Mus musculus: one gene and its partners. The protein of the gene in region 5 interacts with the protein of the main gene of each other region in a pairwise test. Links are inferred from orthologs where the notes say so. Each region holds a gene or a part of one and is shown on either strand. Other genes may lie near its edges.

Region 1 (4,058 bases), on a different chromosome or scaffold from region 5:
GGTATGCAAATCTGTCTTTATGTTTAATAATAAAATTACATATACACCAAAGAATTGCTTTAAAATAAGCTAACAGGGGCTAAAGAGATGACTGAGTGGCTAAGAGCACAGCTGCTCATGCAGAGGCCCCGGGCTCAGCTCCTAGTGCCTACATGCTGATTCACGGGCACCTGCAATTCCAGTTTCAGAGACCCATGCCCTCTACTGGGCTTAGCAGGCACTTGGCGCACACATGGCACACATATGTACATACATGCAGGCAGAGCACCCAAACGCATTCAATGAAAAATAAATAAAATGTGTGGTTACTATCAGTAAATGTTTGATTTGATTTTTTTTTTATGCCTATGTGACAAAAAATTTCTTAGGTGAGGATCATGAGTGTAAAATTTTTTTTATATGTTGCTGTATTTTTTAATCCCATTTATTTCCAGAAAAAGGGCTAAATTGTTTTCATTTTTTGCATTCATAGCACTCTTGCCCATCATAGTTCGTTGTCCTCTTTCTAAAAATCTATTTATCCTATATACACATGTATACAGAAATATGAATATACATATACAAAACTCAGTGATATACTGTAATAAAATTTAAAATATTAAGGGTTTGAGCTATGGCTTAGTGGCAGAGTGCTTGCTAGCCTGTGCAAAACCACAGGGTTAATCCCTAGTACTCCTCGAAGAAAATATAAATAACTTCATTTAAATAAAGGTCAAAACTGTGAAGATTAAAAAAAGTTCATAAAAGCCATAAGATTATACAGTGGTTACTTCTCTGTGTGAGAACTATGCTTGGTAAAGTTCTATTTACTAAGGTAGTGGTGGAAGACAGAAGTTCCTGTCATTACTAACCATATTGAGGGGGGTGGGGGAGAAGAAATACAGAAGACAGGGTCTCACTATGTAGCCCAGGCTCTCCTGGAACTCACTATGTAGCTTAGGCTAGCCTCAAACTCATGATCCCACTGTCTCAGCCTCCTGAGGTGTGTTACGCTGTGTGGCTGTTTTGTATTGCTTTTTAAGTAGGTTTGTGAAATTGTGTTAAGCAGGTCTGAAAAGGGCTGTGTCATATTAAACTGACCTGGAGTGTTTACTGGCTCATATTCTAGATCAGTGGTTCTCATGGGAGAGCCAGGAGTCACTCTTCTTCTAGGAGAAAGACTTGCAAACAGCTGGAAACATTTTTGGTTATCATAATCAAGGGCATTGCTGGCAACCAGTGGACAAAGGTCAGCTATGACTCTGAACTTTCTACAGTTCATAGGACAACCCTCTACTTCAAAGATCTGTCCAAAATATCCTTAGTGCAGAGGTCCAGAAACCCCAGAGACAAAGAAATGGCAAGACAGCTATTGCTCTATGTCAGAAATGTGGCTCAGCACCTAAGGGCAACAGGGAAGAACCTGATGGGAAATAAAGTCAAGGCCTTGCCTTGATAGGAAAAATGGAAATGGGGTTACAGGAAGATGGGACTACCGTGGGGAAAGGGTCAGCAGCGGCAGCAGCAGCAGGGATTCTTCATTTCTATAAAAATCTTCTAGTTCTAGTCGGGCGTGGTGGTGCACGCCTTTAATCCCAGCACTCAGGAGGCAGAGGCAGGTGGAGTTCTGAGTTCGAGGCCAGCCTGGTCTACAGAGTGAGTTCCAGGACAGCCAGGGCTACACAGAGAAACCTTGTCTGGAAAAACAAAAAAAAACAAAACCAACCCCCCCCCCAAAAAAAAAACCCAAAATCAAAACAAACTTCTATTCCCATGCATCAGATCTACGAAAGCAACAACAAAAAACTAACAATACTGTATGTCAGAGTATCTAAGTACCTTCTCCAAGATATTTAGGTCAAGAGAGTTTAAGCCAGCAGAAAGAGAATGAAACAAAGTTTCTTTCCAGAGTCGTTAGTAAACTGCAGGAAGGGTAGCTGTACTAGTAGGCGAATAGAATGACCTGTCAAGTATGCTCAACCTGCGGCTCAGAGACAGGCACCCACAGTCACTAGAAATGACATTGTTCTCAACTTGTTTGTTCCCTGAGCGTGAACTCTGTAGATGACAATGCCTGGCAGATATTCTCTAAGTAATCTTATTGATTCAAGACAGTTGTGTTGCCTTGGCTGTCCTAGAACTTGCTCTATCTATCTACCTATGAATGAATGATAGGATTTCTTTGTGTAGCCTTGGCTGTCCAGGAAAATTCTCTGTAGACCAGGCTGGCCTTGAACTCAGAGATCTGTCTGCCTGTGCATCTCGAGTGTATAAAAATCGTGTGCTTTCATTTTCATACAAGTCTCTGCCTGAGGGAAGTCCTTCACTTCCTAAATACTGTTTATTATTTAAAGAAAGATTGTTGGGTGTGGTGACACGGGAAAAATGAGGGATCAATGAGTCTGAGTTCGAGGCCAGCCTGGCTATACAGTGAGACCATCTCAAAATAATAAATCCCACCATGACCTGAGATAAAACTTGCACAGAGAAAGCAAGCCACAAACACACAACAAGGTAAGTTTGGATGAACAGCCCGGCCAGCCAAACCCCATGCTAAGGCTCAAGGCTTCCTCGTGTCCATGCATATATATCCCTTCCCCAGGCACCATTCCGACCGGACCACTAAGGACTTGTTTCCGGCTCAAGATGTCCAAGAAGAAGGACCCCGCAGAGACGAGGCCCCTACTGGGAAAGTCTCCAAGGGTCAGTATGGACCCGGTTCGGAACCCACCCAAAACATCCCTTGACCCTCCGCCGCCACACTCCGTGGCCGCCACTCACCACTGACGCATGCGCAGTCGTCACAGTGCGGGGGTGGGGTGAGGGTTGGCGGGGACCTCCGCGTTTGCGCTGGTGCAGACCAGACGGTGGGAGCCAATGAGCGTCTAGTCCCGCCCAGTCAGCTTCCGGCTTCTACAACCCAGGTTTTAATTAGGTTGCGGTAGTCTGGCTGTTTGGTACTTTGGAGTCAGTCTTAAACCTTTCAAACCAATTAGTCTTTCAGAGCTTTCAGTGTTGAATTCACAGTATATGAACACATATTTTACCAATCTATCATGGTAGCTGGCACACAGTTTTCCTTAATCAAAACTAATGCTCCCTTTGATTCGGCAATTCTTAAATCACATGTAATCTTTTCTTTCCCAGGGACAGGCAAACTTCACTATGTTCCTGCTGTTCGGTTCTCTCTTTATCGATTTCCTGATCTGGCTGAAGGGCTTTAAATCACCGCTCAGATGCTGACGCCACTCAAAAAGCAGCTTGATAATGAACTGTCACAATTTCTACATACAGTAGTGTTTCGTCTGTAGAAACCCATACTTCATTTTGATTTCGATTTCTCTAAACGAATGACTACTCTATTAAACCAAATAGATCAAATCAAGTGTAACTTATCAAAATGGCAATCAAGAAAAAAAAACTATTGAAAAGGAAGAAACCATCTACTTATAAGACTCAAAAAAACCTGTTTTAAAGCAAACTATTTTGCACCTAATTTTTTAAAGCTTCCATTCCTTTTAAGTATGTATGCCACAATGATTATCTTCGTGTATTCAATTATATGCTATTTTTAAATATTAAAGTGTCTGAAGACACAAGAAAGCTCTACCTTTTTGGTTTTTTTTCAACAAGAGTTTCTTGATGTAGTTCTGGCTGGCCTGTATACATTGTAATTAAATGTTTCTCACAGATCATAAAATTAGTATCAAAGACAAACTAGTCTTTATTGAAGTGAAAAAGTTTTTCAGTCAAATTGGATCCAAAAGATGCTTTCAAATCACATTTTTTTTTAATAATTATTTATTATATGTAAGTACACTGTAGCTGTCTTCAGACACTCCAGAAGAGGAAGCCCGATCCCATTACAGATGGTTGTGAGCCACCATGTGGTTGCTGGGATTTGAACTCAGGACCTTTGAAAGAGCAGTCGGGTGCTCTTACCCACTGAGCCATCTCACCAGCCCCCCACATTTTAATTAAGGAATTATTTCTTTTATATTTAGTAATGGTGCTGAGAGAATACCTTGGAAGATCTCTTAAGATAGAAATATGTGGTCCTGGGTCCCTAGTGGTCAGGG
Region 2 (4,226 bases), on a different chromosome or scaffold from region 5:
GCACCTGGGCCCTCAGCTCCTCCAGCTCTGTCTCTGTCAGGCTCAGGCCCCGATGCTTGCCCATTGAAAGGGAGCCCAAACTGCCTCCTTTCTCTACTTGCTCTTCTTCGACCTCTTCCTCTTCCTCCTCTTCCTCCTCCTCTTCCTCATATAGAGCTGGAAGTAACACCTCCCCTAGGAGAGACAACCATCCCACCACACAGTCAGTGCCCAATCTAGAACCCTGCACCTTACCTCCCCAGGGCCTGGTCTGCAGAGTAGTGTCACCTGGTGTCCCCCGAGGTTCCCTGGGTAGAACCTAACTCATGGTCAGGCTCTGGTAGGTCAAATTTGGATGCACCTTCTCCAGCTTCCAAACGCCTAATATTGGACGTCTCCTGCCTGTCCAGCAGCCTTGTGCTGGCTCAGCTACAAGAAGCTTGCATGAGGACACCTGGCTCTAGTAGTCTGAACTCTGGGTAGTAGGACAAGGAGTTAAGAAAGGATTCAGACATTCAGACACCAGCTGTTTATGTAGGCCAAATGAAGCAAGCTTGGGGGAAAAACAACCTAGGTGGCTTGCAAGGTATTAGCCGTTTCATAATAAGAAAACACTGGCTTGGTCTGTAGATAGAAGAGGAAACATTAGGCGGAGTTGTTTACTGCATCCATTTTGGAACCCTTTCAAATGCATGTTGTCAAATATCTTTTTGAGGTTTTTCTACACCTGTTGTTTCCCTGTTGGGTACCACAAGGATCATCTCTTTCCTTCTGACCCAAGTTGATGTTGAGAGTTGTCAGGCTGAACTCATCTCAAAGAAAGTCTGCCATCTTAACACACTCTTCTAAACCACTCATTTATTTATTTACTGCATACGGGTGCTCTCCCTGCATGTGTGTCTGTCCATCATGGGAGGGCAATGCCCTTTCAGGTCAGAAGAGGGTATTAGAGCTTCTAAGACTGGAGTCACAGACAGCTGTGGGCTGCGATGTGGGTGCCGGGAACTGATCAATTGCTAAGCCATCTCTCCAGTCCTGTTGACACATTTGAAAAACTAATTTGGTACTGGTCCTCATGTTCAGACTCCTGAACACCTTTTTTTTCTCCTTCTTCTTCTTCACTGCAATGCAATCTTGTCTTGGTAGGGATTGCTTTGTTTTTAATCCTGGGTCTCTGGCCTTCCTTCCCTTTTCTAACACCAACAGCATACGGTTCATCTGAGACCCCTTATGTCATCTAGTCTCTAGGGAAGGCCTGTGCTGAACTACAGAGGGGCCTGGGGACACTTCACAAGAAGTCCTGGATAATGTGTTGGTACTGCCTGCCCTGTTACACGCGAGTGCTGTTGGGAAATAGACTCCATCTAGCCCTCTCCTAAGCACGTTCTTACTAAAGCTGCAGGGTTCCATTCAGAGTTGACGGTGGTGGCATCAGATAGACAGTTCTCATGCCCATGTCCTGGCTTTTAAAAATAAGAGACAGCTTGGGATCTGGGTCAGCAGGCAGTGAGAAGAACAAGCCCCCTGCCGAAAGCCTGTTTCCAGGCTGGGTTGAGCAGGGCCTCTCTCTGTCTGGCAGCTTCCCGGGACACACAACCTGGTTAGCTGGGTGATTGGCGCCCCAAAGGGATGTGCCCAAACTTCCCACAATGCCTGAGCCCAGGGGAGGCTTGGAGCTCAGCCACCAGGGAGGAGGGGCCTGAGATGAAGTGAGGGGAGGGCCCTGTTCTGGCTCAGAGTTCTGGGGTCAGGGAAGGAAGAAGGGAGCTACGGAGTAGGGCGATAGAAAGCCTTTTTCAGAAAACTCACCGTCCATAGCTTGCATCCCACGGCGCTCCAGAGACCCCCAGCGTTGGCCTTTCTTCCTCTCACAACCCTCAGATACCTCATAGGAGCCTAAAGTGGTTACTGTGGGTCCTGTGAGCCGGGAGAAAGTAAGAACTGTAGGAATAGAGGGGCCTGGGGCTGAGGGGAAAGAAAGGGACGTGCATTCTTATATGGGAGCCCCGGAATTTGCAATCACACTGGAGAAGCCTGACTCACTCTGCCCAGCTCTGTGATTCTATTCCCTCAGCCACCTCTCATGCCTATGGAGGGGACCCCAGTCCGGCGCGGCCCAACCTCAGCACCCCTGTTCCCGGCTCCTCTCCCTCGCTCAGACAGAAGAGGGTGAGTGTTTGTTTAGCTTGGGGCATAAGAAGAGGGGTAGGGTGGGAACTAGGAAAGAAGGTTTTGGGAGGATCCTATATAGCAAAGCAGAGAAGGGAGGGGTGGCCGGCTCAGGAGAGGAGAGAAGGGGCTCTAAACTAGGCCGTTTCTCTTTCTCTCCCCTTCCCTCCCTCACCAAACCTCGCCCACCCCACCCTCTCCCGGTGGTCAAGAGCTTTGATGAACTAGAAGGGTGCAGGCTCTAGAGACAACTCCCCCGCCCCCCTCGTGAGCTGGAAACACAATCGGGCTGGAGAGACTAACTGGGGAGCGCTTGGGGAGTGACCGCTGGGAAGGGACAACCCAGGTCGAAAGATGGAGAGCAGTATCCGGTGGAGGCCAGGGTGAAGGGAGCCGACTCAGTACCAGGAGCACCTGGGGGTCAGAAGGAAGGAGAGCCGTAGGGGGAAGGAGCATAGGGAGCTGAGAGAGAGGCCGCTCTGACCTGGGCCAGGGCAGCTCCAGCCCGCGGCTCCCGCGCCGGCCCCGCCGCCTGCCTCCATGGCTGCTCCCGCCGCCGCCGCCGCCTCCCGAGCAGAAGCCGCAGCCTCCGGGCCGGGGACCGGGAGCCCGGTGCGCAGGGAGGAGAGAGGGCGGGCCGAGAGGGCGGGGCCTGGCCTGGCCACCTGACGCGAGTGCCCGCCTGTGGCCGCCCGGAAACCCTCCCCCAGTCCCCGGCTCCAGACCCAGTGAGGACCAGCAAAAGAGGTTCAAAACACGTCACTAAAGTGCCCCAGGCTCGTCCGAGGCAGCTTCAGGTCTGCTGCGCCTGAAAAGCGGACGTGAGCTACCGGGTCTTGAGGATGCGCCCAAGGAGTGCTAGCATGGCTTGGTTCTGGCTGCAGAACCCACCCTGGGTCCGCCACGCCTAGGGACCTCAGGGGCTAGTCTTGACGGATGATAGAACCGGGGGGGGGGTGGGGGTGGGGGGGGATGGACTGTTTCCTGCAGATGCGCAAACACACGCGCACTTCCTTGGTTCCCACACAGAGCCAGCGTCCCCATCCCCGCAGTCCACAGAACCCATCCCTCCGGGTAGCCTCAAGCGCCCCAGAGCTACTGCAGGGCTGGCGGATAGTTGAGACCTGCATGTGCCAAGTGCTAGGTGGTGGTACATCACTGCTTTCCCCGAAATCCCACCCAGCCAGAGCTCTCCTCCCAGTGTACCAAGTCCCTCTTTCTTCCCAGCCCTTTGAGCCACGCCCTCTGTGACCTGTGCAGTGTGGGCATCATTGATGTTCCCTGTAACAAGAAATGTGGGAAACCACGAAGCTTTTTTTCAACTTTTCATCTATTTATTCAAGAGATGAACTTGGTCTTGAGGCAGATTTGACATCTCAGCAGGTCTCATTTAGGTCAGAAGTGGATACTCAGGAATCTGCTCCCCGAGTTATAATCGTGGAGAGATTTCTAAGCTTGGTACCTCACACCAGTTCTTTCTCATGTATTCTCACTCCTAAAGTTTGGGCATGGCTTGGCTGGGTTCAACTCCCCAGGCTACTGGGCTCTCAAGCCCTCCATGTTCCTCAGGAATGAAGCAATTCCCTGCACATCTCAGGCTTATCAGTAATTTCAGCATTGTGTTGAGAGTTACTCTCCAGACACCCCATCCCTTCCTTTTTTTAGACTCTCCTGCTGTGCTCTTCTGACCCTCTGGGCAGCATCAGAGTATTGCCTGCTGTTAAGGTTGGGAAGTATCCTAGTTATCTTTGTATCTTCAGTATCAAAGTACCTGACTCATGGAGTAAATGAGTAACATGGAGCTTCCGACTAAGTTAACAACGCCTTCATCATTTATCCCAGATTTTTAACTCATGAATTTAAACTCACGTTCCCTATTAACAATGATGTCTGCCAGGCAGTGATGGCTCACACCTTTAATCCCAGCACCTGGGAGTCAGAGGCAGGCGGATCTATATGATTTAGAAGCCAGCCTGGTCTACCGAGTTAGTTCCAGGACAGCCAAGGCTACACAGAGAAACCCTGTCTCAAAAACCAAAAACCAACAAAACAAAAAAGTCCAGAAGTCAGTAGTAATT
Region 3 (3,500 bases), about 38 Mb from region 5:
TGAACTATTTCCATGAGTTTCCAGAGGTTCAACACTTCAGTTTTTACACCATCACCCCCTTCCTAAAGAAGTAAGGGCTACTCAAACAGGAATTTGTAAAAGAATATTTTATTTGTCCTACTTTCTAAATCTGTTGTATGTGTTGAGATCAAGGTCATTATGTTTTAGCTCTATAAACATGTCTTAAATCATCCCTCAAGTCATACTTTTACCTGGATTGTAAATCTTTTTAGGAATCATGAGATTATCATTTGCCTCATGTATCACTTGTAAAATTCCATACTGTAACACATTTAACAAACTTTTGACATCAAGAAGAAGAAGAAGAAGAAAAAGAAGAAGAAGAAGAAGAAGAAGAAGAAGAAGAAGAAGAAGAAGAAGAAGTAGTAGTAGTAGTAGTAGTAGTAGTAGTAGTAGTAGTAGTAGTAGTAGTAGTGAGGGCTACAGGCAGGCACCGCTGTAGCCAGCTCCTGATTTTAGCAGTTCTCACCACAGCAGCCTCCCTGGGCTGTATCAGTTGTGTCTAGGTGAGATAATTCTTTCTTGTTTTGTTCAGATTCTATGACAAGGTACTTTCTTTGCACGAGGACTTGAAGATCCCTGTAGTGAATCCTCTACTTGCCTTCACTCTCATCAAACGTCTGCAGTCCGACTGGAGGAATGTGGTACATAGTCTGGAGGCCACTGAGAACATCCGAGGTAATGAGGATGCTTGTGAAATACGGGGGAAGCTTCTAGCTTCTGATTCGGTGGTAAGGAGGGAGACTCCGTTGAGTTACAGTGACGATTAGCAGAGCAGACAGAAACTACCTGAACTTCTAAGCTCCTTTAAGTCAATCGAGTTAGTCCTCTTGCTAATAGGTGTATGATTTTAGATAACAGGACACCTTCACCTCCATTACCTCACTTGATCGTCACTACAATCAAGTGAAGAAGTGTACTTCCACCCAGTTAAATGCGTGTATTTGTGTACCTATGTATGTGCAAAACATCATGGCCTTCCAGTAGTTTCTGTTTCAAGTTTCTAAATTTGAAAGTTAGAATACTGTAATGTGACCTGTAAAGAAATCACTTTCTAATTCATTCTATCTTGCACTATAAGAAGTTGGTTAGTTTGGGGCAGTTAAGAAGAAAAAGAGTTGCCTCTTGCTAAAGGGAAAGATTATAGATTCATGGGGTGGAGTGATACGACCAAGCCGTGTACCTTATTTCTTTTTACTTCCTCCATGCCATTGTTCTGAATGTCCTTCATCCAGATTATCATATCAAGCATCTACTCTGGAGGGCTGGAGAGATGCCTCAGTGGTTAAGAGCACTTGCTGCTCTTCCAAGAGGACCCAATTCAGATACCAATGCCTGCATCCCAACAGCTCACAACTGCCTGTAACTCCAGCTCCAGGAGAGCCCATGTGCTGCTCTTTGTACCCTCTCAGGTTACCTGGGCACGCTCACACACACACACACACACACACACACAAGCGCACACACTCACACACACATATACACACAACACACATGTATCCACTCATGCACACACATTCATGCATGCACATGTACACACACATGCACACACAAACACACACAATCTTTAACTAAAAGAATCCATTGTGTCCCAGGAGATGAGCTTGCTGCTGAGGGCTCTTTGAGCAGGTGGTCAGGTCTCACATGAGTGAAATGCCCATTGCCTGTGTTTGGAGGCGAGGGTCACAGTCTTTCTATTTTTACAGCTCTGAAGGATGGCTATGAGAAGGTAGAGCAAGACCTTCCTGCCTTTGAGGACCTCGAGGGAGCAGCAAGGGCCCTGATGCGGCTGCAGGATGTGTACATGCTCAACGTGAAGGGCTTGGCTCGAGGCGTCTTCCAGAGGGTCACGGGCTCCTCCATCACCGACCTGTACAGTCCCAGGCAGCTCTTCTCTCTCACAGCGGATGACTGCTTCCAAGTTGGCAAGGTGACATGCAAAGAAGTCCAACTGCTCGATTCTACTTTCTTATGGATGGACTGTGTCTCAGCTGTCTTTAGGTATTCCCTTTGCTTGAGGTAATGACAGGGTAGATCACTAAGACTGCATTGCAAAGTAGGAGGAGCTAAATTGAACCCCATCTTTTAGCTTCCCATGCTCTTGCCATAGGGATGAGAAGTCATCATATACTTAGGGCACAAGAAAAGCTTTTCTTTTCTTTCCAACAGGATATTGTGTATCCCAGGCTGGTGTTAAACTTGCCAGGGTCTTCCTGCCTCTACTTCTCCAGTGCTGGGATTACACCATGCCCATTTTTGCAGGGCTAGAAATCAAACCCAGGGTCTCATGTGTGCTTAACCAAGCACTTGAGCAACTGAGATACATTGTTTGCACACAAAATGGCTGGCCAGGCTGATAGACATGAACTAGGCAAAAACCATCAAAATTTTTTTGAAATTCTAACTATAAACCCTACAGTATCTGAACTATGGGTGGAAAGCAGAGAGAAGGGTAAACAGGAGGTTCTAGATGGCGATGTGAAGGTAAGATCACAGAAAGGGCCTGTGAGATGCTCTGGAACCCTTTGCTTTGTTCCCCAAGTCCTTAAAAATATCCAGCTAAGTTAGTGTAAAACAACCAAGGCTGTGCACCGCGATGTTACCTGAGGAAACAGACTTCAGGGATCGCCCATAGGTGTATGTAGCTGATTTTTGCTCATACTGAGTTGTTTTATAACATACTCTTTCCCAGCCTTACCTTCAAAGGTATGTGGTAATTCTTTTCCTTTAGAAGATATTTACTGCAGGAAAGTGTTATTGGTTTTTTTCCTTCCTACCCCTACCCAATGTTCATTAACAATGTGCTCCATGGTCCTAGTTCCAGGCTTGGGGAATCAGTCTCCTAGACCTACACAGAGTGGGTTCTCTGCTTACTGCTTCTCTCTCTCTCTCTCTCTCTCTCTCTCTCTCTCTCTCTCTCTCTCTGCAGTCTTGAGGAGCAGAGCAGGAGTCCTGCCATGAGCATGGCTAGTTCAACTAGTTGAGTGCACAGTACCAGTAAGTGCTCACTAATGGAGCCTCTTGGCCGTGTATTGAAAACCATAAACCATATGCTGAAAATTTTGTAAGCCAACTTCCTGAAAGTCTTGCTGCAAATCTTTATTTATTTGAAAGACAATGCATTTCAAATGTATCTGTATTTATTTGAAGGATAATGAATTTCAAATGTAAAGGTGGTACCTAGGACAATATCAAAAGCAGTTTTATCTATCTATTATCTATCTATCTATCTATCTATCTATCTATCTATCTATCTATCTATCTATCTATCTCTCTATCTATCTGTCATGTATGTGTATGTGTGTATACAGTTATATCTATAAATGCAGTGAAATTCATTTTCAATTTGGCTATATTAATTACACATTTTTCCTTCCTCCTACCATGTCACCGCCACCCAGGTCACCAGTGTCCTCTCCCTGCAGGGCATTATCTTCTGGGGTCAGCTTCCTCACTCTGCAGTTTATACTATAATGCAT
Region 4 (4,300 bases), on a different chromosome or scaffold from region 5:
GAGGTCAAGTTCTTACTCAAGCAACACCAAGAAGAACCTCCAAAGACACGCAGCCAGGTCCCTGCACTGAGCACTGCACCATGCAGTGAGGGAGCGGTGGGGGACACAGGGCCACACCCTCCTGAAGAGGTTCCAGGAAACCCCCAAAGCTCTAGTTCAACAGTGACCACAACCCAACAGGCTTTTGAGGGTGACCTCCCCCTTGGGGGCAGAGGGCTAAACAAGCCGATGATGAGGGGGCCCACCTGGGACAGCCGCAGGGGCACTCATTCGCCCAGGTGTCGGCTGCGTTCAAACCTTGGGACATGGACATGGACCAGCCCCACAGGCTAACATCGTGAAGCCACAGGGAGGAAGCCCAGGTGCCCTCGGAATCATGCCCAGCCCTCTCTAGCTCCCTATGGGTGGCTGTGGGCTCTGCCCAGGGACTGGCTCTCTGTCCCAGCTGTCAGGAACCCTAACTTAGAGGTGAGACACCACAGGTGCATGACAAGCTAGCAATAGTCCCAAAGTCTCACTATCTCGACAGAATGGGAATAGCCTCCTGCTTCATTCAGGTCAGGGGTCAGGCATCCTCAGTAGGGTGGAGCCAAGCAAGGGTGAAAGCAGAAAGGAGCTGAGAGCCGACAGTGGGAGACACAGCCAACCTGGGGACCATGCAGCCTGCTCCTTGCCAACTGGGCCAAGTTCATCTCCAGGTGACCCTCAAGGTCCCCAAGACTGACTAAGGCATAGATACCATCAGGGTCACTGGACAACCAGGCACATCACTTTAATGCCGCTTTAAAGGGGGGTTTCCAAGGCCCTATTTCCCCATGTTGGGAAAACTCAAAGACCAGCAAAGTCCCTGAGATCTCTATGTCAGGAGGAAGCAGGGAGTCCAGCCTAAGATGATCCAGGTGACAACAGGACAAACACTTAAAGGCTGGTCCCCAAGCAAGAGGCAAGAAGGTCCCCCAGCAAGGTGTCTGAGAATAGAGGATACAAAGTAAGTTAGCATGGATACCGCCACCCTGCCTTCTTAGCTAGGAGCCTGGACACAGCACTGGTAGCACCCCCCAGGCAGGTCTCCCAGGGAGACTCCGGCACCCAGATCTAGCCAGACTGAGACTACAGAAGGAAAGGTACTCGCTCAGGAAGCCGCATCCCTCGATTCCACCTAGCATCTTTTGGAGCACAGACTCCAAGCTGTGAGGAAGCCCAAGCCACACAGAGACCTCACGAATAGGGTTGTAGCCCACACCCCAAAGGGGCAGAGGTTTCAACATTAACTCCTACAAACTGCAACCCACAAAGGACCCCAAGAATTATGAGAGGTCAGAACAAGTGAATACTGAGTTGTCAGAGAGCATTCTCAAGAGAAATGACCCACATCCACACCTAGGCAAGGGCCCCGTGCCCCTGGTGTCCCAGCCTCGCCCCTCCACCGTGGCAGCTAGGACATCCCGAGAGACGGGTTCAGCCTGTCTCCACCCACATGGAGCTAGGACATGGGACAAACAAGGGAGCTAAACCAAGGGACAGGAATGAAGAAAACGGGTGGGAGCTGGGCAGCTGGGGTCAGAGGTGGCGTCCTAGAGACCAGATGAAGTGGGACAACTGACAGGCAACTCTGTAGGAATTCCGACTACAAGAAAGAAACCCAGGGGCTGGATGGTCTCATGAGGACTGCAAAGGATAGGCACAGCGAAGAGGTGTGGCTTAGACTAAGAACGGGACAAGCCACCAGCTCAAAGAGATGGCTGAGACACACACTAACCAAGTAGCTGACACTGAGGACTTCTATGTAACCACTGCCACTTTCATGAGTTCAAAACATGGATGCAGCAAAACACCCTCTCAGTTATAGAAAGGCACCACCAGGTTCCCACTTAAGATGAGGAAACTGAGGCAGAACCCTTCCAAATCCTAGACTCCAGGAGAGCACGTAAGCACAGGCTGGGGAGTCTCCACCACCCATGCCACACAGGGCAGAGCAGCCCAAGAGCACCCACTTGGCCGCCATGCCCCAAAAGGGGTATCGGTTGATCTATCTTGTCTTCAGAAGGTCTGCTTCCCCAAAGGCCCCCTAAAGAAGGAACTAAACCCCTAAGAACCCTCTGAGTCAACCAGCCAGAGTTGTCCAACGGGGCCCCCAGATCCCGACCCTGTGGCCCACGCGCGGGCCTGTTGCTGCCCCAAGCTGCCCCACTCGCGCACTGTGCAGAGTTCCAGTACCGGAGTGGCGGATTCGCAGCGCGTCGCTGGGGGCTGGTCCCGGAGTTCAGCGGCCGCACCCCGAGGTGCAGGTCAGCTCTGGGCTGTGCGCCGCAGCCCCGCACCCGCGGGGAGGCCCGCGCTCTCGCTCCCACAGCCAGACGAACTCCACGCGCGAAACTTTCCGCTCGCAGAGAGCCGCCGACTCCGCGCCCTGCTCATCCCCAACGCGCCGGAATGCGGTCCCCGCGCCGCCGTCCCAGACGCCAGCGCCGCACACCCACCCGGTCCGCGGCGCCCTCCCGCCGCGCGGCCCCGGGTCTCGGCCCCGCACCCGGCCGCCCGCGCCTCGCGCCCCTCCCCCCCGCCCGCCCGCGCATGCGCACCATAGCCGAGATGGGGAAGGGGGGTCGTCGGGCGCCCACGGGGCTCATGCTCCGCCCGGTAATAGTGGGGAGGCTCGAGGCGCTCGGACTGGGAGAGCACGGGCCGGACCAGGTCGACCCAGGGCAGTGTGTGGGAGGGGCCGCTACCCAGCCGCTCACTCACCTCCGCCATGGCCGAGCGTGCGCGCGGGAGGCGGCGGCCGCGCGGGTCCCCGGATGCGGTGCCGCGCGCTTATTGGCGGAGGAGCTGGGAGGCGGAGTGGGGCGGGGCCGCAGGAGGCGCGTAGTAGGTGTGCTGGCGAGGAGCGGAGATCTATAGCCTGGGTCCGGTGTACCCCACGCCCGTACATCAGCCAATCAGCTGATTCCTGTGTGTCCACAGGTGAGGGAGATGGCGCAAACAGGGAACAAGCCACAGGTGAAGAACAGTCTACAAGTGAAGAGGTTCCACAGGTGAGGGGACAATCTAGCAGTGAGGGGTTTGGGTCCCGAAGTGAAATGGGTATGGTCTGGAGGTGAGGGGAAGGTCCAGAAGTGATGGGGAATGGACTAGAGGTGAGAGGGGATAGTCCAGAGATGAAGGGGAGGATGTCTTGAAATGAGGGAGAATGAGATGAAACAACTGACAGGTGAGGGATGGTCTAGGGGTGAGGGGGTGGTCCTGAGGTGAAGGACACTGGTACAGAGAGCAGGGCATGAGAGCCTCCAGAACAGGTGCACAAACCTGACTTTCGCTGTCAGGAGGGTGCAGACAGAATGGGAGAGGCAGACCGGTGGGCAGACCTAGGCTTGCAGAGGTGAAGGCCTCTGGTCTACACAAGTCACCAAATGACTCTTCCTTCCCTCTGGGGCCAGGACCAAGCTGGGAGGTGAAGGCACCACTAAGGTTCAAGCACAAAAGCTGTCTCCCACCCCTGAGGATTTGCCCAAGACAGAAAGTCTGCCCCCTGCTCGTTTGGTGGGTTCATCATTCCATGAACCTGAGTCAGTCAGTCCTAACCCAAAAAGAGAACTGTGACAAGGATCACTAGAGAAAGCCAGGCATGGTCGCCCATACTTGTAACTCCAGTGCCCAGGAGGCTGAGGCATGAGAGTTACTATCAGTTTGAGGCTAGCATGGGCTTTGGAGCGAGACCCTGCCTCAAGAAACCAAGCTACTGGGTATGGTGCCACAAGCCTTTAATCCCAGCACTCAGAAGTCAGAGGCAAACAGGTCTCTGTGAGTTGGAGGTCTATGTAGCAAGTTCTGGGACAACCTTGGCTACGTAGTAAGACCCTATATGTGTCAAGACAAACAACAATAGCAAACACACACAAATTAACCAATTACCAAAGGTTAAGCAATTGGATGAATGGATGAGCAGAAAGATTCTTCAAGGTTAGGGCTTTCTTTCCCATGGACCTGATAGTTGCAATGGGGAACTGAGGTGACCTTTCAGCCAGCTGGGAAATATGAGCATCATTAGGGGAGGTGGACACTCAGCATTTCCTCAGGTGATGCCTAGACAACATCTCTCATCCAGGCCAGAGTTCAGAAACTGTTGACAGAAGTGTGGGCTCCAGACCCAGCCTAAAAGGGAAGGTCCCGCTCAATGGTGAGACTGTGTTCTTCAGAAGTGTCAGAGGAGAGAGAACTGTAGAAGCCTCCAAGTTCCATCAACAACACTCAGTACTTGATAGTTAATGACCCACAAAACAAGGGAAGTGCCACAGAGGCC
Region 5 (3,359 bases):
AGTGCGTGTGTGAGTGGTGGCCATGGGGAGCTTGGTGTCAAGACTCCTGTATAAAGGTTTTAGGATAGTTCATTACCAACACCCCTTTTATTTTTTCTTGCTCTGTGATGATACAGTTATTCCTTACTTCTTATGGCTGGTGGGAGGACAAAATAAAGAAGAAAATGCATGATAAGGGTTTATTCTGCTAAAGTGTCCATCAAAGACTATTTTAAAAAATGCAACAGAAAAGGGGCAGGCCCTCCATATACCTGTTATTATCCCCATGTTATGTGATAATGAGCTTTTTTGTTGTTGTTGTTATACCTTTTATGTGACAAATTGATTAAAGCACTGCAAGTTTCTTCTGAGTGGTCGTGTGGTCTCCCACTGTGTTAGGACACCGTGTTTGCTTATGCTGCACACAGGGAGAATCTTTCTCATCCCCACCCATTCCCACTCCCCCTTTCATCAAAAATAAATGCCTCCTCCCCCCCCCCAAGAAATTATTTCACAGTATCTTTAATGCTCATTTTAACGTTTATTTATGGTGGGGTTGCATACATGTTTTGTAAAGGGTGCTAAGTGCCTACACTGAGAACAGTCCAGTTCAAATCAGTCCATTCCACATGGATGCTTCCTGTGCCAGTTGAAGTCATATGGAGAAAGGCCTTGACCTTTCTCTTGCTCAGGTCTGCGTTGCTGTTAAGTCCTGCTAACTCTCCAGGGCCTTCTTTGTCGATACAGATCATCAGTCCCATACAAAGAACAAGATACAGAACACCTCAATGTATTTCACAAGTTTAGCACAGCACATCTCTTGTACAAAAATGCACGAAAGCACAAAAGTGAAAGTACCAAATACTTATCACACATGCATCAATCTTAAACACTACACGAGTACACAAATGAATAGCATTACAAGGTACAAAAGCACTGTATGGAAAACTTAAAAATTATACATGAAATACTGCACTGTGGATTTGGGATACTCTAATGACTCAACCCCACCCTTACACAGCCCTAGTATGGGTCAGAAACTATCAGTGTGCCCCTGGACCTTTTTAGTCCTCAGAGACACTGCTGCGGGGGGCCTGGGCAGCAAGATTAGCCTCCCGCAGAGCTCTGGCCTGCTCCAGAGCCTCCCTGTATCGGGAAGGCCACGCCTGGGGATCTTTCTTGAAGACTCTGGCCAGGAACTCCATGATCTGCATCTTGGTGATTTCACGGTTAGCTCTGGACCCCCAGAAGAACTCGTACTCGGGAGGCTCGATGTGGGGCACACGCTGGTACTTCAGGTAATTCTGCTGGACGAACTCCTCGGTGATTATCTTCCTCACGTCTCCGAAGGTGGAGTGCTTCTTCCAGGGCCTCAGCCCCAGGATGCGCAGCACATTCCAGACCGCACCCTCTCTGGCCCCGCGGCCCTTCACATAGATGAGGCTCAGGATCATGAGCAGGAGGCCTGTCATGGGCATACGGTTGTTGAGCGCCACCCTGTCTAGCTCCTCTGGGCTGAGGGCTTTGACCAGGGCAAACTCCATGGTGTGGAGATTGGTCAGCCTCAGGTGCAGCCCGAACACTCTGGCGAGGATGACGCTGGTGCGCCTGAGGATGCTTCTGCACCATTTCTTGTAGCTGCCCATGACCTCTTTCACCATGTCTGGAAACCAGAGGACCATCCTCTTCTGGTCCTTCACCAACACGTACCACATGAGCTCGTGCGCCTTCTGCACCAGCTGGGCAGGGGCTGGCGGTGCTGGGATCGGCCGGGCTGGACTCTGGGGCTGGTGGGCGCGGCCCTCCTCTGCGGCCTGCTGCAGGATTTTAGGGTCAACATCTTCTATCCGTTCTTCGGGCGGTGGCGAGGCCTGTTGGGCTGCCATAGGGCCTTCGGGAGCGCACGGTGGCCCTGCGAGGTTAGCGGCCAGAGAAGCGGGAGGAGGGATCCCCACCGGAACGGCATCGCTGTCCTGCATCTCACAGTCGGGGACCTCGGCTGCAAAGTTAGGGTCGCTCAGGTCCTTACTTTGTTCCGACATGTCTGCGCCTTCGGATCAGAGCAGGACCGATGCGGCTTGGAGCTCTTGGAGCGGGCACTCCCTCGGTGGAGACCAGCAGAGGAAGTGCGCTTTACTGAGCACTGCGCCTTCCGCAGCAGCGGGCGGGCGGGGCTGATGCGATATTGCGCATGCGTGTTGGGAAGCCAGAAGGGTGGTAGGGCTGGAAAGGAGCGAAGCAGCAAAGCCCAACCACTGGGGTCTAAGGGAGGGTACCACTAGGCTTATGTAAAAGATTTCCTGGTCTCCTGTATGGCACAGAACTAGATGATGGTAGGGAAAGAAACAAGTTGAAGGAGAAAGATGTAGCTGAGATGGTGAAGTTAAGTTCGGACACACTGAGTTTGTGCAAAATCAAATTAAATGTGAAGGTCCTGGAGAAAGACTTAATTCTTGATTTTGGTTTTTCTACAAAAGAATAAGAGAAACAGAAATGACTTTTTTTTCTTTTTTCTTTTGGAAAGCTGTACCTTATGATGATGATGAGTTGTTTAAGATTGGAATATTGAGAAATTATTAATAGAGATAAATTCTTACATATCTGAATGCAGATCAAACAAGGAAGAATGTAAAGTGTAGTTACAGACACTGGAGATAAATCCATGTGAGATTTGAATGTTCTAGAAGTAGTAGATTCATATAGCATAATTGATGGGAGTTTAAAATTTTAATTAAAATGAGACTTGGTTCAGTGGTTAAGAGCTTTTGCAGTTCAAGCATGAGAACCAGAATTTAAATCCCCCAGGCCCCACATGAAAATGAGGGATATATAAAATATATATATATGCATTCATTCATCATTGGATGCTCAGTTTGTTGGTTTTGAATTATTTTAATAACTATAGATTTGGGCTCTCCATTTCTATTAGGTCACTTTGTTTTCATCTAAAGCTTCCGTTAAGATTCTAGTGGAAAATGATCAACATATTTATTAATACACATTTTATGACAGTGTATTTTTCATATTTTCCCACTACCTTTTTGCCCTGCTCACTGCATCTTCTGCGTTTATAAGAAATCTTCTACTTCTTAAATTATGTCATTCACAAATGACTAATTCCATGTTGGGAGCACATCCAAATCTTTCCCAATATATTTTAAATGCAGCTCTTTTCGATACCTAACAGTCTCTCATGAATAAGATGCAACATATTGGTGTCCAAAAATAAAAAGGTAGATCGAGAGGTCATCTAAAGCTGATATTTCCTCAAACTCTCCTTTATACAATGACCATTGTTGAAGCTTCCAAAGCCAGAAGTCCTTAGATTTGATCATCTTTCTTGTTCTGAAATAATGGAATTCCTTAGCCCTTCTCATCAC
Region 6 (4,029 bases), about 35 Mb from region 5:
AGCAGGAAGATGAAAGATTCCAGAATAGCTTAGGCTACACAGCAAAACGCTGTCTCAGAAAACAAACAAAAAAGTGGCTGGGGATGTAGCTCAGTGATAAGAGTACTTTGGCTAGCACCACCTCGGTGTTCCGTGCCCAACACCACAAAAACTAAGCAAAAGGAATTTTCTTTAGGGACACACCTGCAGCTCCAGGACTAGCAATATGGAAGCCAAGCATGATTAGAATTTCAAGGCCCTTGTCTACACTGGAGTCCTGCTTCACGAGACTGCCTAAAACAAAAAGAATCCGAAAGTGAGTCCTAGAAAACAGGAAGGAGGGTACCAGAGACCAAATAGTGAAGAGCAAGCTAACCCTTCACTACGAAACCATATCACAAAATTAAACACACACACACACACACACACAAAATTTTAAATCTTAGCTCAGTTCTACGGTGTTTGTTCAAAATGCTCAAATGTTAAATCCCCAAAACTAAAAATAATAATAATAATAATAAGTTTGAGTTTGTTCCCAGAGTTGTGAGCAGTCTTTAAGAGTAAACAGCAACAGGCAGACAAATGCGGAAAACGAAAGCGTTGCCTGGGATCCAGGAGGTTCCCCCAAACAAGCAGCAGACCCCTCTAGGTTAAGCATAGACTCCTCCTACAAGACGGGTTGGGGGTGGGGAAGCAGAGCTCCGCCAGCTAAGGGGCGGGGCTGCGGTCGTTCAGGCAACGCAAGCCGCATCATGCTATTGGCTGCTGTCTAGTGCGTCATCCCCCCCCCCGCCCTCCGGTTTGACCCAGCCTTCGGAACTCCGGGGGGCGTGGCCTCCACCATCTGCCCCAAGCCTGCAAAACCGCAGGGAGGGGAGAATGGTGTCACCCGGTGTCACTCTTCAGTGGGGTCTGGTATAAGGGGTCTGCAGTGAAACAGAGGAGTGAGAAACACAGCTGGGTCCAAAGTAGCAGTTCTGACGGCGTTACCAGACTCCACCGTGGAGACTCCGCTCCGCCCCCTGACCAGTAGCCAACCTAAACCGGACCCGGCCCAGTGATGGACGGGGCCTAGCATCCGTGGCTCCTCTTAGCCAATGGCGCCCCGCGGCGGGCAGGATTCCAACCAATCCTGGCTTGCGACTGGCCTCCGGGGAGGAGCCGAGTGGCCCCCAGCCAGACCCAGAGGCCCGGGGAAAGTGAGCCGGACTTCTACCCAGCACTGGTGGAACCCAACCCTGCAGGCTTGTCGGAGGTAGTCGTGGCGACCCTGGCAGCCGAGGTGAGGAGTGGCCGCCTGTGTGAGATTTCCCTGGAGTTAGAGGAGGACGGGGGCGCGCCCCCACGGTAGGCGGAAGCGGGGTATCCCGAGTGGAGAGCAGATTGGTGTGATTGATGGACATTGGAGGGTGGAAGGCTGAATTCCAGCATCAGCACCGAAGGGGGAGCAGGATTACTCAGGAGTTGGAGTTTGGAGAAGCCAGGAAAACGGAGAAAGAACTTTGGAGGAGAGTGTAGGACAGTTTGAGTCTCGAAGAATAGGCTGAGTTTGGAGTTCCACGGTGTTCTGGACAAAGTGAGCGTTTTAAGGCTAGGATATGAAGCATTTAGAGGAACCCGGGAACTAGAGGAACCGAGTATTGGATTCTGAGACGCCGTCGTGAGAAGGGAATGCCGGGGAAGAGTTCACTGACTGGGTCTCGGAGCCGGACTGGGTATTTGGAAAGCCAGAGTCATTTGAAAGTGGAGCCGAATGAGGGGAGATTTGGGACGAGGTCTCAGAATTGGGATATCCAGTTTCGCCGGCGGAACTATGTACCCGAGAGTTATTTGTCGTCTTTGGGCGATGTGATGGGATTTGGACCTCTGCACACCGAGGACAGTTTGGGGAAGAATCCAGAACTTCCTGGGGTGATAGGGACCCAGAGAAAACAGGTTTCTGACTGAAGCCTGGTGGGGGAGGGGCGCTCGGGGCGTGGAGCTCGGATTCACCGCCCCGAAGGCAGTAGAGGGCGGGGCTCGGCGGCCGCTGGGCAGCTGAAGTCCGGGTTCCCTTCCCCCACCAGCCGGAGCTCCCGTACGCATGCTCTCAGAGAGGGCGGGCGTGTCCAGTCTCTTGGGTGTGCTGGGCCTTCTGGGGATTGTAGTTCCAACGCGACAGCCGAAGCTCTGCCTGGAGCCTTTGGGTCCACAGTTCCCAGAAGGCCCTGAGGATACATTGAGGTGTTCTTGGGTCTGGTCTAGCGACCCAGGGAAGGGTGGTGCCTATAAAAAGAGATGATTGGGTTGGACTGGTCGCTAGAGGGTGCAGTTTGTGGTTAGTTTCGCTCTAGCTGGCTTTCCTTTGGGTCGGAGTTTGGGAAATACTCCCTCTCTTTTGAGAGGTCATAGACTCAATTGTAGGAAGCAGGTACGGACAGAAATATTCTTGTTAAAAAAGGAGAAAAAAAAAAGAATTTAAACACACACGTCCCAGCTAAGCCTCGTCTCACACACATTTAATCCCAGCCTTCAGGGAGGAAGAGGCGGTACGATATGAGTTCGAGACACAGCCTGATCCACATAGGGAGTTCCAGAGCAATACAGAGAAACCCTGTCTCAAGTTTGGGTTTGGTCCATTACTCTGTGCTCCATACCTGTTTGTCCTGTGACCTGTTAGGAAAAAAGTATTGTGGGAAAACAATAACAAGATCTATTGAGACCAGAGTTAGGATTTTCACTTTCCAAATGTTAAAATTGATTACCATAATGTAAATTCAACGTTGTGCCTACCACAGACAAGTGATACTCAAGCCATGCCCGGATGTTTTGGTGATTTGTTTTAGGGCTTTTTTGTTTTTCTGAGACAGGTTTGTCTGACCATATTAAACTCTACCTGCTTCTGCCTCCTGGATGGGTGCTGAAATTAATGGCATAGGACACCATCTGCAATTTTTTTTTCTGTTCATTTTCCTATTTTAAATTTTATGTGTATGGATGTTTTGCCTGCATGCTTGTCTGGGCACTACTTGTGTGCCTGGTGGCAAAGGAGGCCAGAAGAAGCCATGGATCCTCTAAAAGTGGAGTTTTAGGCAGTCCTGAGCCATCCATGCAGGTTCTGGGGATCGAACTTGGATCCTCTAGAAGAACAGACAGTGCTCGTAACCACTCAGCAATTTTTCCAGCTCCTTTTATTTTTGAGACACTGCCTAGCTGAGGGTGACCTTGAACATCTGAACTCACTGCCTCCTTAATACAGAGGAGGTGACAGCTACAGGAGTCTCTCCACCCTCACTACTACCTGCTCCCACTCTGTGTCCTGTGCACCCCTCCTCACACTCACTTACCAGTCCCAGCAATCCTATCTGCATCTTGTTCTCTCAATCACATTGCATGCATTAATTTACCCATTCTTAGCCTTGTGGGATTCTCTGTGCACTTTAAATGGAGGTTCTGATACACACACACATACACACACACACACACACACACACAAAAGCTTCCCATAGCTACACAGGCTTGCTTGAAGAAGTAAGGTCCCAAGGTATCTGACTCCACTCTTTTTTCACAGGACATGGGAGGCTTAAAGAGGAAACATTCTGATTTGGAAGAGGAGGAGGAAGAGGAGAAGTGGGACTGGAGTCCAACAGCTCTTCGGAGCTACCAGCAAGCCCTGCTCCGAATCTCTCTGGACAAAGTCCAGCGCAGCCTGGGCCCCAGAGCACCCAGCCTCCGCAGGCACGTCCTTATCCACAACACACTCCAGCAGCTCCAGGCTGCCATTCGCCTCGCTCCAGCACCAGCCCTGCCCCCGGAACCTCTCTTCCTAGGTGAAGAAGATTTCTCCCTATCTACCACCATCGGTTCCATCCTCAGGGAGCTAGATACATCCATGGATGAGATGGAGCCGCCTCTGAATCCAGCAGCTTCCTCGAGTCCCCAGAATGAGATCGTGTCCCAGGCTGATCCTGTATTCTTAGAAGCTCTGAGCTCAAGGTACCTGGGAGACTCTGGCCTGGATGACTTCTTTCTGGACATTGATACATCTGCGGTGGAAAAGGACGTTGCACT
Region 7 (3,242 bases), on a different chromosome or scaffold from region 5:
CTTCTGGGATTATCTATTCACAGCCAGTAGCTCCTGAGAAAATAAAACTAAAGCTGATTCCCAGAGCCACTGTTCACCCATCTTCTCCCTCAGGAGTTTGCAATTGGTCCCTTGGGTTCTAGTGTTGGCCTAGGTTAAGCTCTTGCGGCATCTGGTGCTCACAGATCATCACAGAGCATCGAAGGCTGGGCTTGGGGCCCCTCAGCCTCTGCTCTGTAGCGGGGAGATGGAAGGGAGAGAGAGTCCCTACTGGGTCTTTTGATGCTTGGCTTCACGTATCCAAGGACCTTGAATATGTGTGGCCCTGCCCTCCAGACTCAGTCTCCCTGTGGTACAGCTGGGTAAAGCAGGGTCCCTGGGGGTGGATCTTTGCAATATCAAGACACTCCAGGCCTCTCCAGTGTTTTGTGTGTTGGAGGTGGGAGCCTTTCCCAACCCCTCACACCTTTATCCAGGGCTCAGCAATGTACTTTCCCCAGGAAGACCAGGTCAAGTTCATCTGGGATTAACACACTACTTTAATGTCACCAGAGAACCCTGTGGGAGAGGGAGGGGGTGTGAGGGAGGACACGTGGGTCCTCTTGGCTGGGAAGTGGGGCAGGGCGGGGGGTGGCGGTCACAGAGGAACCAGGTAAGAGAGGAAGGACAGACAGACAGTCCAGTGACTAGAGAGAGTCCAGGAGAAACAGTCCCACCTTCCAGGCAGATGCCCAGACTGAATGGGGCAGGCTGAGCCCAGGTGGAGGTTGGCTCCCCAGACCCCCCTCCAAACAATCTTTCCATGGTGTCCTCCTGGGGGCCCGACTGTCAGCTCTCCTGGGGCTGGTTGCCCTGGTGTCTGCTTAGAGTCCTGGAGCAGGCTGTGAGCAGGTCCATGGAGGCACTGAGCGGTGCACAGGAGTAACAGCCAGCCTCCTCACCACGATCCACCCTGTGTTTGTACGGAGGAGTCGAGAGATGCCCCGTGGTACAGTGGTACAGCTGGGCTCCCAGCAGGGTGTGCAGACAACGGACTGGCCATCTTGCCTCAGTTGTAAAACACTTCATCTTCCTCTTCTGAAAGAGAGCCACTGTCCACCGACGGCAGCGAGCCATGCAAGTGGGCCCTGTCATCGAGCCCCTGGGCCCCTGGCAGCCGCTGCCGGTGGTGCTGCTGGGTGGGGCTAGGGGGTTCCTCTGGTGAGGGCCAGCCATCATTCAGGGTGAGGCCAGGAGAGCAGGCTAGGAGACTGTCGTCCTGTGAAGGGCCGCTCAGGAGGCTGTCCTGAAGGTAGATGCTCTCGAGGTCTAGAAAACCAAATGGGGGTACAGGGGAAGAGATGGAATTCTGTGCCTGTGCCCTACCTCCCAGGGTGCGGGAGACCAGGCCAGGGTGAGGAGGCCTGCAATGTCACTGTTAAGCTATGCGACCTCAGGTGGGTCTCCAAGTCTCTCTGAGCTCAGTTTTCTCCCTATGACGGACGGAGCAGAGATGATAAGAGCAGGAAGTGAGTATTGGGACAAGAGGTTCTCTTTCTGGTCCTCTGTCCCCTACACTCCCAGTCATAGGGAGAATCATGTGAGAAGAGCTAAGGGACGCTTCATTGGGACCCAGGTTTGGGAAAGCAGCACCCAAAATCCACCTAGTGCCTGCTCAAGCTGCACCCCACCCAGTCTCTCCTTTCTGATAAGCGCAGCCCCTGGGAATGTTGGAGCCAGAGCTGCCAGCCCCAGGTAGCTGGGGAAGAAGGGGGAGGAGGAAAGGAAGGAACCCTGCTGAGAGTCCTTGGCGTCCCTCTGAGGGCTGCTCCACCCACCCTGCCTTGTCGTTCCTGCTGTACCTTGGAGCTGGAAGGCACCCTGGGTACTGTCCTCGGGCTGCAGTTCTTCGTCATCCAGAGAGGACCAGGCACTCAGAGTGGCCTCCGTGATGGCAAACTGCTCAGCGACCCCTGGGGGTGGGTGGAGTGGGGGCGGGGCAGCAAGATTAGACTCAGTGAGCACAGGGGTGGGAAGGGGGCGCTCTATGCCTCCATGGGCCTCTCTGAGCTGTGAGAGAGGAAGCCACCGAGTGAGTGCCCCGCCCACCATCCTGCGCGTTTACGCGTTTACCGCAGGTTCGCTCAGACCCCGCTTCAGGCTGAACACCCAGCCCGTGGCCTCTCTCTCCGTGACCCCTCACTCACCCGCAGCAAAGCGCGCCTCGCGCAGCTCGTCCGGGAGGCAGCAGTAATGTTCGTCCTCTGCGGGGGACAGCTCCCAGCCTGACTGCTGGGCGCTCCAGCCTTTCCACTCGATGAGGTGGGCCACTCGGCCACGGGCCATGGCCGTGGGCTTTGTGATGTGGTCCTTGATGCTCTGCACCACCCCTGTGAAGCCATGGATAGCTGTTCATGGGGTGGCCGTCCCAACGTAAGCCCCCGCTCGTGACACCCAAATACCTCAGACCATCCTGTCACCACGACCAATTCTGCTCTGTGCCATCGCAGTCTGATGCCCTCCTTCACGCCATGTCCCGCCCGTTTGTATGCCCCCCTCATTCCCAATGTCTTATTGAATCTGGATCAAGTTTCCCAAACCAGCCACTCCTTCCTCCGGCTGGCCATGTGACTCAGCCCCTTCCACTCATGATGAACAGCTCTGTGGATTGAGACTCTAGTGAGTGGAGGTGCATCAGGGAGTACTACCTGGAGGAGGTGACCTGGAATTGGGCTCTCTGAAGGCCTATTGGGGTGGGACAGATGGTGGCCAGGCTGGCAGAATTTCAGAGATGAGACAAGGTTAAAGATACAGACGTACTGGCTCAACACCATACAACCAAGGATGGGACACAGGGCAACTAGAGGCTGGGAGCCTTTCATCGGCCAGACAGGGACTAGGGAGCCGAGATGAAGACTTGGTGTTATCTCTACAGCAATGGAGAGCCTTGGTTACAACATGGCCAGACAGGAACCAGGGAAGACGTAGGTTAGATCTGTTACTTGGGATATCAGTTGTATCCCAACTGAAAGACTGAAGTTCAAGGGTGGAGATGGGAGTTGGGGCAATCAGAGGCCATGGTAGGGAGCCAGGTCGAGACAGGAGAAAGGCTGGGGAAGCTTATGAGCTGACTGGCTGGATATGGAAGGGGATGGAGACAAGGAATCAACAGCCCAGCATCTCCACTAACCGAGGTAGGGAACAGATCCGGGCATCCCCAGGACCCTTAAAGCCGGGCTTAGGGGAACCCAAGCTCCAATGTCAGATGAGACCGTCACAGGAAT

What was found.
Region 1: the proteins of Ndn (region 5) and Eef1akmt1 interact in a two-hybrid assay, tested with the Homo sapiens proteins (2 studies listed by BioGRID and IntAct). The link is inferred for Mus musculus from reciprocal best matches to the Homo sapiens genes NDN and EEF1AKMT1.
Region 2: the proteins of Ndn (region 5) and Ccdc136 interact in a two-hybrid assay, tested with the Homo sapiens proteins (2 studies listed by BioGRID). The link is inferred for Mus musculus from reciprocal best matches to the Homo sapiens genes NDN and CCDC136.
Region 3: the proteins of Ndn (region 5) and P4ha3 interact in a two-hybrid assay, tested with the Homo sapiens proteins (2 studies listed by BioGRID). The link is inferred for Mus musculus from reciprocal best matches to the Homo sapiens genes NDN and P4HA3.
Region 4: the proteins of Ndn (region 5) and Mier2 interact in a two-hybrid assay, tested with the Homo sapiens proteins (2 studies listed by BioGRID and IntAct). The link is inferred for Mus musculus from reciprocal best matches to the Homo sapiens genes NDN and MIER2.
Region 6: the proteins of Ndn (region 5) and Sertad3 interact in a two-hybrid assay, tested with the Homo sapiens proteins (2 studies listed by BioGRID and IntAct). The link is inferred for Mus musculus from reciprocal best matches to the Homo sapiens genes NDN and SERTAD3.
Region 7: the proteins of Ndn (region 5) and Fam131c interact in a two-hybrid assay, tested with the Homo sapiens proteins (2 studies listed by BioGRID and IntAct). The link is inferred for Mus musculus from reciprocal best matches to the Homo sapiens genes NDN and FAM131C.

The regions. Positions count from the first base shown.
Region 1 is NC_000080.6:57,568,783-57,572,840, forward strand, and holds the start of Eef1akmt1 (EEF1A lysine methyltransferase 1), read right to left. Parts: upstream 2,801-4,058; 5' UTR 2,761-2,800; intron 1,143-2,760; exon of another isoform or gene 1,081-1,142; intron 1-1,080. UniProt on the Homo sapiens protein: Protein N-lysine methyltransferase that selectively catalyzes the trimethylation of EEF1A at 'Lys-79'.
Region 2 is NC_000072.6:29,395,149-29,399,374, reverse strand, and holds the start of Ccdc136 (coiled-coil domain-containing protein 136), read right to left. Parts: upstream 2,801-4,226; 5' UTR 2,691-2,800; coding exon 2,633-2,690; intron 1,897-2,632; coding exon 1,789-1,896; intron 450-1,788; exon of another isoform or gene 341-449; intron 175-340; coding exon 1-174. UniProt on the Homo sapiens protein: May play a role in acrosome formation in spermatogenesis and in fertilization.
Region 3 is NC_000073.6:100,292,020-100,295,519, forward strand, and holds part of P4ha3 (prolyl 4-hydroxylase subunit alpha-3 precursor), read left to right. Parts: intron 1-556; coding exon 557-699; intron 700-1,727; coding exon 1,728-1,951; intron 1,952-3,500. UniProt on the Homo sapiens protein: Catalyzes the post-translational formation of 4-hydroxyproline in -Xaa-Pro-Gly- sequences in collagens and other proteins.
Region 4 is NC_000076.6:79,552,329-79,556,628, forward strand, and holds the start of Mier2 (mesoderm induction early response protein 2), read right to left. Parts: upstream 2,801-4,300; 5' UTR 2,755-2,800; coding exon 2,746-2,754; exon of another isoform or gene 2,631-2,745; coding exon of another isoform or gene 2,583-2,630; intron 2,570-2,582; exon of another isoform or gene 2,218-2,569; intron 1-2,217. UniProt on the Homo sapiens protein: Transcriptional repressor.
Region 5 is NC_000073.6:62,347,070-62,350,428, reverse strand, and holds Ndn (necdin), read right to left. Parts: upstream 2,153-3,359; 5' UTR 2,022-2,152; coding exon 1,044-2,021; 3' UTR 501-1,043; downstream 1-500. UniProt on the Homo sapiens protein: Growth suppressor that facilitates the entry of the cell into cell cycle arrest.
Region 6 is NC_000073.6:27,472,611-27,476,639, forward strand, and holds the start of Sertad3 (SERTA domain-containing protein 3), read left to right. Parts: upstream 1-1,229; 5' UTR 1,230-1,261; intron 1,262-3,529; 5' UTR 3,530-3,532; coding exon 3,533-4,029.
Region 7 is NC_000070.6:141,381,433-141,384,674, reverse strand, and holds the end of Fam131c (protein FAM131C), read right to left. Parts: intron 2,349-3,242; coding exon 2,166-2,348; intron 1,932-2,165; coding exon 1,821-1,931; intron 1,288-1,820; coding exon 1,028-1,287; 3' UTR 501-1,027; downstream 1-500.